2 linked regions of the Drosophila melanogaster genome follow. The protein of the gene in region 2 purifies or fractionates together with the protein of the main gene of each other region. This does not show direct contact. Each region holds a gene or a part of one and is shown on either strand. Other genes may lie near its edges.

Region 1 (7,106 bases), on a different chromosome or scaffold from region 2:
AGCCGCGAAAGTCGCCCGTTTCACGATCCGGCAGAGAATATAGCGAATTGGCGTAGACATATATGCGCCATTGGACCATGTGCCGTGGCATCATTGTTGCTGCACTCCACGTGTCGACAATGTCGAAATTGTTCGAAGAAAAAACAGAAACAGAAACTTTACACGTGAACGAAAATTCCTGGAATTGTCAATCACAAATTCGATTTAATACTGATTTCACTGCTCACTGTCGCTCGCGAAATGGAACTTTTCCAGCTGTGCAATATGATACAGTATTTACCTTATAGGAATTAAACAATTAGCTCGTTCTTTAAACAATTCCAATTGAAACTCAGCGAAAAAGTTTTGCTTATTGCGCAGGCACAACGGCTCTGTGGCACGTTTTTATTTGGGGCGCATCTACACGATGCCTAATGTCAAGTGTGGAAAGTAAGGGACTGTTTAGACAATGCCATAAATTAACCTGCAAATCGTGACAAATCGGGACATCGGAAATCGAATATACTCTGAAATCACTGGAAACATTGAATTGAAACAAAATATGCATAAATTTAACAAAAAAAAAAATGCGCAAGGTGCCTATGCCGGGGGGCATCCTTGATCCAATGAGAATTACTTTTAGAACTTTACGAAATATGAAATGACACTTATTTATCTTTAATTTAATCTTTACATTTATTATGTATTTGATTCGTATTACAGATATCTTTTGTTCATTGTATGTTGAGTACACTAAAATTCATAACTGGCCACGCCCACTTATGCAAAAAACATTAACACCCTCCTCATACATTGATCAGCGCTAATTCTACGATTTAAAAGCTACGATAGTAAAGTTAGTTGCCATTGTTTATAGTTAGTTAGTTATAGATGCCGCTAACCTACGTGAATACATTTACAATCGATGTTCTTCAGGGGGATATTGAATGCGTCTTTTGATGTGGAAGGGGGGGGGTGGTATATGTATGTATGACAGAACATTTAAATAATGTTGGGATGGGTGTTTATATATGTATGTACAACTTAAAATGGCAATCTTAGGCCTACAATACATGAGTTACAATTACAAATATTATTTTATGGGGTTTGGGGATTTCAGGAATCGGAACAAGACAAGACGGAAACCAGTTAAACATTCCCTTACACTAGCAACTTAAATGAAAATCTAAATCAGTGGCTTATGCTTAATACGGCAGTAGTCCCTGATTCTCATCGTTTTCATCGTGGTTGTCGCTATCATCGTCGTCCTCCTCCTCTTCCTCTTCTTCCTCCGCAGCTTTTTCCTCTTCCTGGTCGTCTTCCTCTTGATCTTCATCCTCTTCGTCCTCCTCATCTTGTTCTTCGGTGGCAGTGGCTGTATCCTCGGCGATTTGCAACTCTGATTCGCCAACTACATCGATTGCGGCCTCCAGCGAATAGGCATCCCGTTCACGGCTGGCCTCCGGATCCGCATCTGTATCGAAATAGTTCTCTAGATTGGCGTCATCCGCCGCCAAAGTTTGTGGGCTGTCGCACAACGTGTTGCTCAGCATGCCCATGGAATTCTCTGCCGAATTATAATGCTCGTTGAAGAGTCCGATGTTCACAGGCTGCGTTAGAGTGGACAGTTCGATTAGGGAGTTGGCTATGTCGTGCTCTTCCATCGCCGGATGTCCGCGCATCAGCGGATCGCCGGAAAAGCCCGCTGCTCCCCAGGCAAACGAACTTAATGGAGCCGAGCTCGAGGTGGCTGTCGAACTGCTGGCCAAACTGGCACTCTGGCTGGACTGATTGCTGTGGCTGCAACTGCGTCGCCGTTTCGGTGCACTGCAACCCGGTTCGTTATCCTCTCTCGGCGATGGAGTCATCCGTGAGTGGAGGGGCCCCGCCTGGTCGTCATCCGGCAACTGAAGCTCCAGTTTTACAGGTTTCCTATCCTCCAGAGTTGCCTCCGCTTTTAGTGTGGCGCGCAAGGCACTGAGCTGCATGTTTACAGCGCTATCATCATCGGAATCGCTGCTGGATTTGTTGTTGTTCGTGTTGGGTTGACCTAGAAAACAAATTTGTGTAATTATACAAGTTTGATCTGATAGGATAATAAATAGTTTTTTGATTGTTTTTAGAGATCATTCTAGTGTTTTCCTGTTCAGAATGTGTGGTGTTATACATACATTCATACATGCTGATAAGAACCGTCTAGATTCACAAACCACTTACCGGATGACTCGCTGCTATCGCCACCTGACTCGTCATCGGACGAACTTGGACTGTCACTGCTGCTTTCCGGTTGGCGCTGGGGCTTCTTTTGGCTTATCTGCTGCTGCTCAAGCATTTCCATATTCTGGTCTTTGGCCTTCCGTTTACGAGATGTCCTTTTCCCGATTGACTCCTTTTTAGAGCGCTTATTATTCGCCACTCGCTTGCGTGACTTTTTCTTGGGTGGCTCGGAGTTGGTGGTACTACTGTCACTGCTATCCTCATCGCTGCTGCTGCTGAAGTGAAAGGAGGAGCTGCTGCAGCTGCTGGGGCTGCTGCCACTGTCACTGCGGGCAGGCATGGATGAACGGCGTGATTTCTTCGAACGTATAGAGCGCAGCGTGCGCAACTGATCGAGGCGCCGTGTCTGCGCCATGACCAGCTTCCAGTTCTTGCCTCTGTTGGCCGCTGCGCCACTTGTGCTGGGCCCCATAAACAGGCCCTGATCCCTGGAGGCCAGATCCAAAGGGGATTGTGTCGACCGGTTTTCGGCAATTGCGTCCGGCGCAGCTTCGTGCTGCTCATTTACGAACACCACATCGGAGTCACTATTTGAGTCAAGGCTCACCTGTTCGGGAGTGCGCATGTGTGGTGGCTTCAGCTCCAGCACAAAGACGCACTCATCCTCATCGCCGGAACTGCTGCTGCTCTCCAGTTCGATGTGCGCCGTCACTGGAAGAGTAGCACCTGCGTGTCTCCTACTGGTGTTGCTGCCATCATTGATGGCCGCCACCTCTGCATTTGCGGCCGCATCGCCGTCGTCGATCTCGATGACCTCTGGTTCCTCGCTGGCAACCGCCGCTGGGCGCCTCATGCTCAGGTTAATGGCAACCGTTTGTGAGCCCACATTGGTTGTACGGCGTATGGAAATCCCCGGCAGCTCACTGCCATCACTGGCCATTGTCACGCTGAAGGAATGTGTGGCACCAGGATTGGTCACAATCACACTGGTCGACGGGCGTACCCTAGGGGGGCTCCAATCCGGAGAGAAGCCAGCGTTTATAGCATCCGCATCGCTATCTCCGACCTCCAAATTCAGATCATCACCGTTCGAGGATTGTGTCTCCACCATGTCCAACAGATCCACCTCCACCTCCTCAGCCACTCGTGCCGAATACTGCACCACATGATCGTAACCGTTTATGTCATACGGGGAGCGGGCAAAGTTAAACAGTTCGTGGATAAAGTGACTGGTGCGCTCGCCGAGATACGGCGACAGCCGTCGACGGAATGTAGGACCTAGTAAGCTAGTCATGGGCAGGAGGTCGCTCATCAGAGTCATCACAGTATTTACGCTATGTGCGGCATTCCTCAGTAGGCACATGATGTCGCGATGGATCCAAGGCATCAGGCGATGAATCTGAGCAGGATTGTTTCTATAAGCAAGGATTTGAAATCGAAATCAGTATGGTTAAGTATGCGGTTTTAGGTATACGAACAGACCTGTAAAAACGGGCGCTCCACTCTCGAAAGTGTCCAGTCACGCTGTCGCTGACGGGCAGAGCATACAGCTTTCTATCGTACACATAACGTCGCCAGAGCTGGCTCAATGAACCCGACGTGGATGCATCCTGATCGTGCTGGTAGTAATTCATCAGCTCCGAGCGATACGGCTCAAAGCGGCTGTACGATCGCCTGCCAGCTGCTACTTCTGCCGCCGAAAGCACATCTTCACCAGCAGCTCCTGCCGCTATGGCCGCCTCGATGTCGTTGACAATGACGGCCTGGTTCTGCACCAGCGGCGTGTACCTGGGACGCCTCACAATGTGGTAACGTAGGGAGGGATTTTCTGTTGGAACCGGCGACGTAGTCTGCACCGGGTAGCGATCGTAGTCGTCCAGGGTGCGGACATTGTGTATGATGGTTCTGAAGGGCTGCTTACACAGTGGACACTCGGGCTTTATCTGCAATCGAGAATAATTAGATGGTTAAAATAATGGTTTACTCGCCTGCGGACTGGTTACCTTGCTCCACTCGCACAGGCACTTGAAGCAGAACTGGTGCATGCACGAGTCCGTGAAGCACTTCCTCCTGCAGCGGGACAAGCAGATGGCGCAATTGGGCGGCGGCGAGTTGCGCTCTACTGTTCCGTTCTCCTCCGCGGCGGATGCACTGGTGCCCGGCTCACCGATGGCGTTGGCATTATCCGGGCCAGCGGATACAGGTTCCTCGGCCTCGTTGTCTCCCGACTCACTGCCGCTCTCGGTGAGATCAGCAAACTTAATGGCCGCAGCCGGTAGCGTCCGGCCTCCGGCATTGGATCCTTCCAAACCAGGCTCCACAATCACCGATGCGCCCAACTCATCCACTCCCAAATAGGGCACGTTGGCGGCAAGAGCTCCGGGATTCTCCTCCGCCATTCTGGCGACTATATAGCGGCTATATGGGCTGTAAAATCGGCCGTAAGATGGGCGAGAACTCGGGCCTGAAGTTTTGTGTCTACTCTGTCCTCCTCTCTCTCTCACTCTGCTCCTCTCGCCCTCTCTCGCTCGCACTCGCTGGCTGGCACGCTACTCTATCATCTGGTTCGCAATTCGGTTCTCAATCCTCGTTTTCCAGCGGCCTTTTCCGGGCTAGGGGACGCATTATCCGTATTCTCTTGCGGTCTATGTGGTGGTCAGTGGCCTGTTCTGTAAAATAGCACAATTTTCGGGCCAGAAATCGCACTATATCTCAGTTAATTTTACACCTGAAAATGCAGGAAACTTGATTTTTTTGACCACTACGGTGATACCGTTCGTCGCGTACAGTTAAATGCTGCAGACCACGGAGATTGATATACTTTTGAATTACTTCAGAATACAAATTTTAAATAAAAAAGGTTTGGAAAATATGTTGAGTCAGCGGTTCTACTAGCTGTTCTACCCTCTGATTGAACTTGATTGAAAAAGCAGGACTAGCTTTGTTACAAAAATTACGAAATACACAAAAAATGCTTAAAGAACTAGACCAATTTATTTTATAAATTGAAATGTGATATTTTGAGAAAAATAAATATTTTTAGATGTATTACACAATCTTGTGAGATTGTGGCGCGGGTAAATTACAAATTCCAAGAAACTTCTTTTCGAACCTAGGAGAACCAAACAATTATTTTGATATTTTCTAAAATAGTTTGGTATTTCGGTTTTGGTATTTAATTTCGGAGCCTTAATTGTTTGTGTTATCGATAGCTCGTTGCTTTATTGCCTTTTTGTGGCGTCTGTTTCAATTTGTTTGTTTTCAATTGTTGGTCATAATTTGGATCCCCAAAATGAATCGACGCAACAAGCGGACGTCGTACTACCAATACGAAGTATACCTAGACTTCATGGAGGAGAATCCCCCGATGTCGGCCAACAAACTGAGTCGCACCCAGGACGGCAAGAAGTGGAAGGAGCTCAGCGATCTGCTAAACAAGTGCTCCACGGGTCCCACTTTGTCGCCCGAGGAATGGCGAAAGGTATGTTGTAACCAGTTGGGTATCGAGTGTACAAGCCCACAGTGTGTCATGCTTATAGCGCCTCAACGACTGGAAGAACAGCACGCGCTCCAAATACCGACGCAGCATCAACTCGGATGACAAGAGCAATGCAATGACTCCTCTGGAGAACAGAGCCCTGCAGATCTTCTCCTTAGAACCGAATTTTCGCGAGGGAATTTCGATGCGCCTGCACGAACTGATGGAGGAGCAAGAGGAACTGGATGAAGAAGAGAATGAGAACCTGGAGGAGTTGGTGGATGAGGAGGAGGAGGAGGAGGTGCAGTACCAGCAGTTCATAGCAGAGCCTCACGAGCAAGCCAACCCAACGATCATCAATGGTCACAGTGCCGCGAAAAAGCTAAGGCTCGATGGTTCCAGTGAGATTATCTACGAAGGTGGGTAGACGCAAATCTAATGTAAATACTAAATATCCTATAAAGGGACATAGCCTTGATTTCAGTCGCGGATGTCACATCTGATCAATCTGCCGCGAAAGAACCGTCTGCCTTCTATGGAGAGAAAATCCAGGAGCAGCTGAAACGCATTTCGGACATACACGAGGCATCGCTGCACTTTAAGATAGCCCGCTTCAAGTACAATAATCCCGGATTCGAGTACGTTCCGGAATTATAGCCCATGCTAGCCATGCACATTGATATAATGTATAATGTAATATAATATGTGAGCTCAGAGGGACCTGCTGATTTCGCCTCGAATTAAAAGCCGCGGAACGCTCAATAAGTAGTACAGTAGGCATTCGTTGAAAACAAATTCTTGAGTAGTGTGTACCATATACCAATTAGTCGTTTTTAAGACTGTTGTTATGCATATCGTTCGACGAAATACTTTTTGCACATATATTTTGAAATGTATTATTGATTTATATGAAACCGCTAATAAATATTGTGACAAATCATTTCTGAATCCGCATGTTTTTATTGCAACAAAATTGAATTATTTATTGCACATCTAGCCATAACTATCGCATGGCATCTAATTGCTTTTTTGGCTTCCCGCCAGATGCGCACCACTGGCGTGCCGAATGCAACCCTGCGCCAACAGCAACAAAATGCAACTAGAAAATCCCAAACGCTAAATGCGTAAATTGTTTGTGAACATCTCGCATCGCTTGGTGGCGTCGATTTGCATTTTAGGGCTTTTGCCAGCTATTTAAACACGGCATCGAGCACGCAGGCACAGAGCAAGGATACCCGGATGAACGGCAAGATGGACCGCCGCAAGAAACGCACCTCATCGGAGCAGTACCAAATGTACATCGACATGATGGAGAGCGACCCCATTTTCGCCACCGGACGAGTGCCGCGCGACTATGACCTGAACTACTTGACCAAAAAGTGGAAGGAGCTCTCCGACCGGCTAAACAAGTGCAGCTCCGGACCCACACTGA
Region 2 (4,878 bases):
ATGCCGCCATCAGGACGATCGGTTGCCTCCTGTTTGCGCTTGCGCATGGCCAGCGGCACATCCTCCTCGTCGTCGTTCATCTCGTCGGCGTCGTCGTCGTGATCATTGTAGTTCATGGTGCTGTCCTCTTCGGCGTAGCTCTGCTCGTGCTTCACCACAAACGGCGGCTCATCGGCACGAAACTGGGACATGGAGTAGTCACAGGAGCTGGCTTGCGACAGATTGTTAAAGCTCTCCTCCTCCTTCTTGATGTCTACGATCGATTCCTCGTAGCCGTTCTTATAGTTGGCACCGGCAACGTTTCCATTGCCATTAAAATTGGTGCCGGCGGCTGCGGCTTCGTAGCTACCGAGCTGTTGCATCTGGAAAGCATCCACCGAGCCCGAGTGCATCAGCTGTTGGGAAACGGGCTCCGGCTTAACAAATACGCCATCGTACGATGGCTGGTCTTTCGAGGAAGATGAGCTGCTGTGCCGCGAACTGGAATGTTTGCTCTTCGATGAGGATGAAGAGGAGCTGCTCTTGTGACTGCTGCTGCTGCGCTCTTTGTCACGGGAGCTGGACGAGGACTTGTGCCGACTGGATGAACTGCTGCCGCGATCCTTGTCCTTATCGCGTCGCTCCTTATCCTTCGAGGACCTCTTGTGGTGGCCCGACGACGACTTGTGCTTGCTGCTGCTGCTCCCATCCTTATCCTTGTGGCTGGACGATGAGCCGCTGCGATGCGAGTTGCTGCTGCCATCGCGCTCCTTGTCCTTGTCCCGATGCTTTGACGACGAACTGCTGCTCTTGTGTCGATCCTTGTCGCTAAAATGTAAAAGGTTAGGGTTATTAGTTGGATTCCTTGTGAAATGTTATAGCCTAATCTATAGCTCTGAAAAAAGCATTACTCTGTATATAATATTGAATTATCTGGTCTGATTGCAGTTTCTCATTCTATATACATATGCACCTTTTCTTCCAGCTTCTATCTAAAGTCGCTTTCTTGGGAGATAATTTAAATTACTTAGGAACTGAACATAGAAACTTAGGCCATTTTAGACGGAATACCTTTAAAGTGATAGCTACCTACATTTCATTAGTTTGGCACTGTAAATTGATTATAAGAACTATAACAATGAGCACATGGGGAACAACTGTCTCTTAATGTAAGCACTATTATGAATCCCAGGTGATTACATTGTCCTTTCCTGACTTTGACCTATTTGGACTGTTCCAGATGGTTCGACACGAGTGGCCCGATTCGAATCGAATCGCATAGAGTCGAGTCAAATCGATCTGCTCCTACATACGTACCGACTGCTGCTCTTGTGCTCCTTCGACGAGCTGGAGGAATTGGAGCTCTTGTGCTCCCTCTCCCTATCACGATGCTTGTCCTTGCTGGAGGATTTATGCTTGCTGCTGCTGCTGCTGCTGCTGCTGTGGTGATGATGGTGGTGGTGTCCGTGTCCATTGGTGGTCACCCCGTTGGATTGAACCACCTCGCAGCTGCCACCATTTTGTATGTGGATGCTCTGCGGGCGCGAGAGAGATGGCGAGATGGAAGAAAGAAGAAAGGGAGATGGTATCAGTTAGTTAGTACGTATATATGTAGATGGACCAGCTGAAAAGTGAGAGTGAATCCGGGCCAGAAACCTGTGCATCCGTCATGTTGGCCCAACTGGTCGCTTGTGGATCTACTCGATTTCCTCTCGATTTCTGGCGATGATTGGCTATTATCTCGTGTCTATCCGCTCACCACGTGGTGAAAATCAACCCTAACAAATGCCGCGTAGGAAAATTCACTTTAAACTACCAGCAATGGGTTAATCGAAGAAGAAGAGCCGCCGAGCGATGGCGACAGGAAATTGAAAATTGTTTCCGAATCACTTGGAATAGGTTAATATATATTTAAAAAACACCTTGCCAAACAATGACACCCACACACGCACAAGAGTCGTTTAGAATACAGAAAATCGTTGCTTTTTTTTTACACTTTTTGCATTTTTTTTTTTTTTTTTAACAGCTACACACACAAACACATCCCCACGGGGTTATTGTTGTTATTGTGGTTGCATATTATTCATCCGGAGCATTTTCTAGTTAATGCTTTTATTTGTTTTTGGCTGTTTTGGGGTGGCACATCTGTCTTATCAGACGACGGAACACCTTCGTATATGTATGTGCATGTAGAAGTGTAATTGCAAAATGGGACACTTGCAATTACATATGTACATGAAAGCAGCGGTCCACAACCAACAACAACAACAACAACAGCAGCAAACACATGTGATATTATGTGTGTGGAAGAGGGCAGTGTGACCAAACTTGGTGGTAATCTACGAAGAACAGGGAAATTGAGACGCTATGCGAACGTAAATAAGGCAAGTTGCAGTGGAAATGCAGGGAAATGAGTTAGTTAAAGGGTGTTTTTGAGGGGGAAAAATGTGGAAAGGCAACGTTCGAGTGGCTGGTGAAAATACCAGTTTTGATTAAAATACCAGCCAGCTGCGGCCACACTGTGCCAAATACATTTCGTCTGCCTCGGCTCTTCCCCTCCCTGCTTCACACCATCCTTCACCTTTTCCCACTTGCATTGTCGCCATTTTCGTCAATTACCAAAAGACCTCTTCTTACTTTTTTTTCTCTGCTCGTTGTATTTTACGCACTCTGCTGGCAGCGCTGTCGGCGTCGCTGCCAGCTGCCAGCAGCGAGCGGTACACTTGCAACTATCCTGTGCACCCTACAATTATGCGGTTCAGAATTTAACTTGATTTTTTGGGACTGACAGGCAGGCTGCAGGCGGCAGGCAAAGTCCCCCCATTCAACACGTTTGCACATTACATAAAAAAGGAATGGATATTTCGTTTAGGGCACTTACATTTTCGGCAGCCACATCCCCACTCATTTTGCGGAACTCGCTTAGCGGTTTTTCTTTTATTTTATTCGTTCCTTTCTTTTCTTTTCACGCTTTTACACTGTTCGACTAAACTGTTCGTTAGGATTTTCAATAATTAGATGTTGGTGCTCCTTAAAGCGGTGACAGCGGCGGGGAAATAAAAGCGCACTGAAGTTTTTCGAAAAGGAGCAGCGTTTGGTGCTTTGGTCAATGCGAATGCCCTTGCTTTTTGGCTTCTTTGCGTTTTACGGAACGCAGCAGCCACGCAGTCTCCCCGATAGGCGATTGGTTCGGACAAGTAGCGACTGCTGCTATCGGAGAGCGATAGGCTGATAGTTCGGATTCGGACAGTGTGACCGTCGGTGCCCGTGTCGATACTAGCCTGTCGATAGATGTTCACTCTTTCTCGATAGTCTGAGCACTGAATTGATACGAAATCTAGAATAACTTTAAGAAAAAGCTAACTTTTTTTCACTTTCACAAAAGGGTTTTCCCCACTATTTGCTTAAATCACTGATTGTGGTAAATGCAGCGCCAAACGTTCAAAAAAAAAAAAATAAGCATTGAATGCCACAAAATGAAATATAAAACATTTAAAGAAATTATTTAACGTTCTGGCATCGAAGTAATTTATTACTTTCGTACAGCTCTTGCAATTATTATTTTGGAAGAAAAACAAATAAAACCACCGCCATAACTGCTTTATCATTGTTTTGTATGTAGGTACACAAGTTTATTCACTAATACATTAGTTTAATATTAATTTAGATAAAAAAAAAAACAAATGCATAACAAACATTTAACAGAGTTCTCATATTTTTGTCGCCTCAGCTTTTTCTGGTTTTTGTGGGTGTGTGTGTTTGTGTGTGTGTGTGGTTTCTTAACTTCCGTTTTTACGCTTTTACATCGATTTATTATTAGTTTACATCGAACCATATATGCATCTAATTATGTATACATTTGTGTAAATTGTACTTGGCTCACTTGCTACATATATGCAGTGCACCGTGCTTGGCCAAAATCCATCAATTCGTCCGGATTTATCTTAACCATAACAACATTAAACATCTATAAAAAGTGTTCGTACGGTAAATGTAATTAAACTATGCAACGCTTCCTTTTAGTGCGCGTATGAATATATTTGTTATATTTATGTATGTATGTATATATTACCTTTTCATGCGAAACTATGCCGATTTAAGTTTAGGTTTTAGTTTTAGATTTACGGTTGTTTCCATCTCGGTATTATGTATGTGTGTATGTAGTTGGTAACAGTCTTTTATCACGTTTAGTTTGGGCATTACGCACAACGTATGGTACATAGGTTTTTAATAGTATATTTCATTTAGCATAATAATTGTTTAAATCCTCCCATTTACGCTAATCATTACTTATATCATTATCTTAATCCTTTGTGGGTGTTTGTTGCCGTTTCCGCTTTCGATGCAAATTGACGTGACTCTTTTCTATTCATATTTGTTCTACCATCTTTTTGTTTTAGAAAATTGGGATCAGCAAATAACAAGTTGTGTTCAAAAGAATCAGCTGTGATTGGATTAAGCTACTAAATATGTATGTGTCTAACATTCTAAACGAAATCGGAAACGGAAACGGTAACGGTAACTAGTTCTACATGCATGTAAAAGTCCTTCTACGTGGGACAGGAAGTTAAAAACAACAAACTGAACAAACAGTGTATATATGTACATATATATATATATATATATATATATATGTGAGTGTGTGCATGTGGGCAGGGTATCTAAAGTATGCTTGTCTCAGGCTCACTCATAAGTTGGGGTTAAAGGTTATCTATCCGTATCTGTATCTGTACCTAAACTGTACCGCAGCAGTTACCCATCAGTTGACCGAACGAGAAGTAACCCTGAATTATTGGTTCTATTGGTTGGTACGAATTAGGGACACTTTGTATGTTGGGGCTTGAGCTGACTGCCAGGACAGTAGTTACATATCACATCGATGAAACCCTTCAGTCGAGA

Evidence for each region.
Region 1: the proteins of Top1 (region 2) and Topors purify together in Drosophila melanogaster (affinity purification with western blotting, with the first as the bait; one study listed by BioGRID). This does not show direct contact.

Annotation. Positions count from the first base shown.
Region 1 is NT_033778.4:18,970,816-18,977,921, reverse strand, and holds Topors (topoisomerase I-interacting protein), read right to left. Parts: upstream 5,311-7,106; 5' UTR 4,984-5,310; exon of another isoform or gene 4,925-4,983; 5' UTR 4,596-4,924; coding exon 4,200-4,595; intron 4,140-4,199; coding exon 3,679-4,139; intron 3,612-3,678; coding exon 2,197-3,611; intron 2,030-2,196; coding exon 1,185-2,029; 3' UTR 660-1,184; downstream 1-659. Other genes in the region: CG18605 (uncharacterized protein), read right to left, coding at 1-94; CG15107 (uncharacterized protein), read left to right, coding at 5,489-5,677, 5,736-6,093, 6,147-6,331; prod (proliferation disrupter), read left to right, coding at 6,914-7,106. UniProt on the Drosophila melanogaster protein: Functions as a ubiquitin-protein E3 ligase. Negatively regulates the transcriptional repressor hairy/hry by promoting its ubiquitination and subsequent degradation. Also directs the nuclear organization of the gypsy chromatin insulator.
Region 2 is NC_004354.4:15,317,790-15,322,667, reverse strand, and holds the start of Top1 (topoisomerase 1), read right to left. Parts: upstream 3,177-4,878; 5' UTR 2,888-3,176; coding exon 2,861-2,887; intron 2,715-2,860; exon of another isoform or gene 2,631-2,714; intron 2,300-2,630; exon of another isoform or gene 1,651-2,299; coding exon of another isoform or gene 1,636-1,650; intron 1,515-1,635; coding exon 1,297-1,514; intron 808-1,296; coding exon 1-807. UniProt on the Drosophila melanogaster protein: Releases the supercoiling and torsional tension of DNA introduced during the DNA replication and transcription by transiently cleaving and rejoining one strand of the DNA duplex.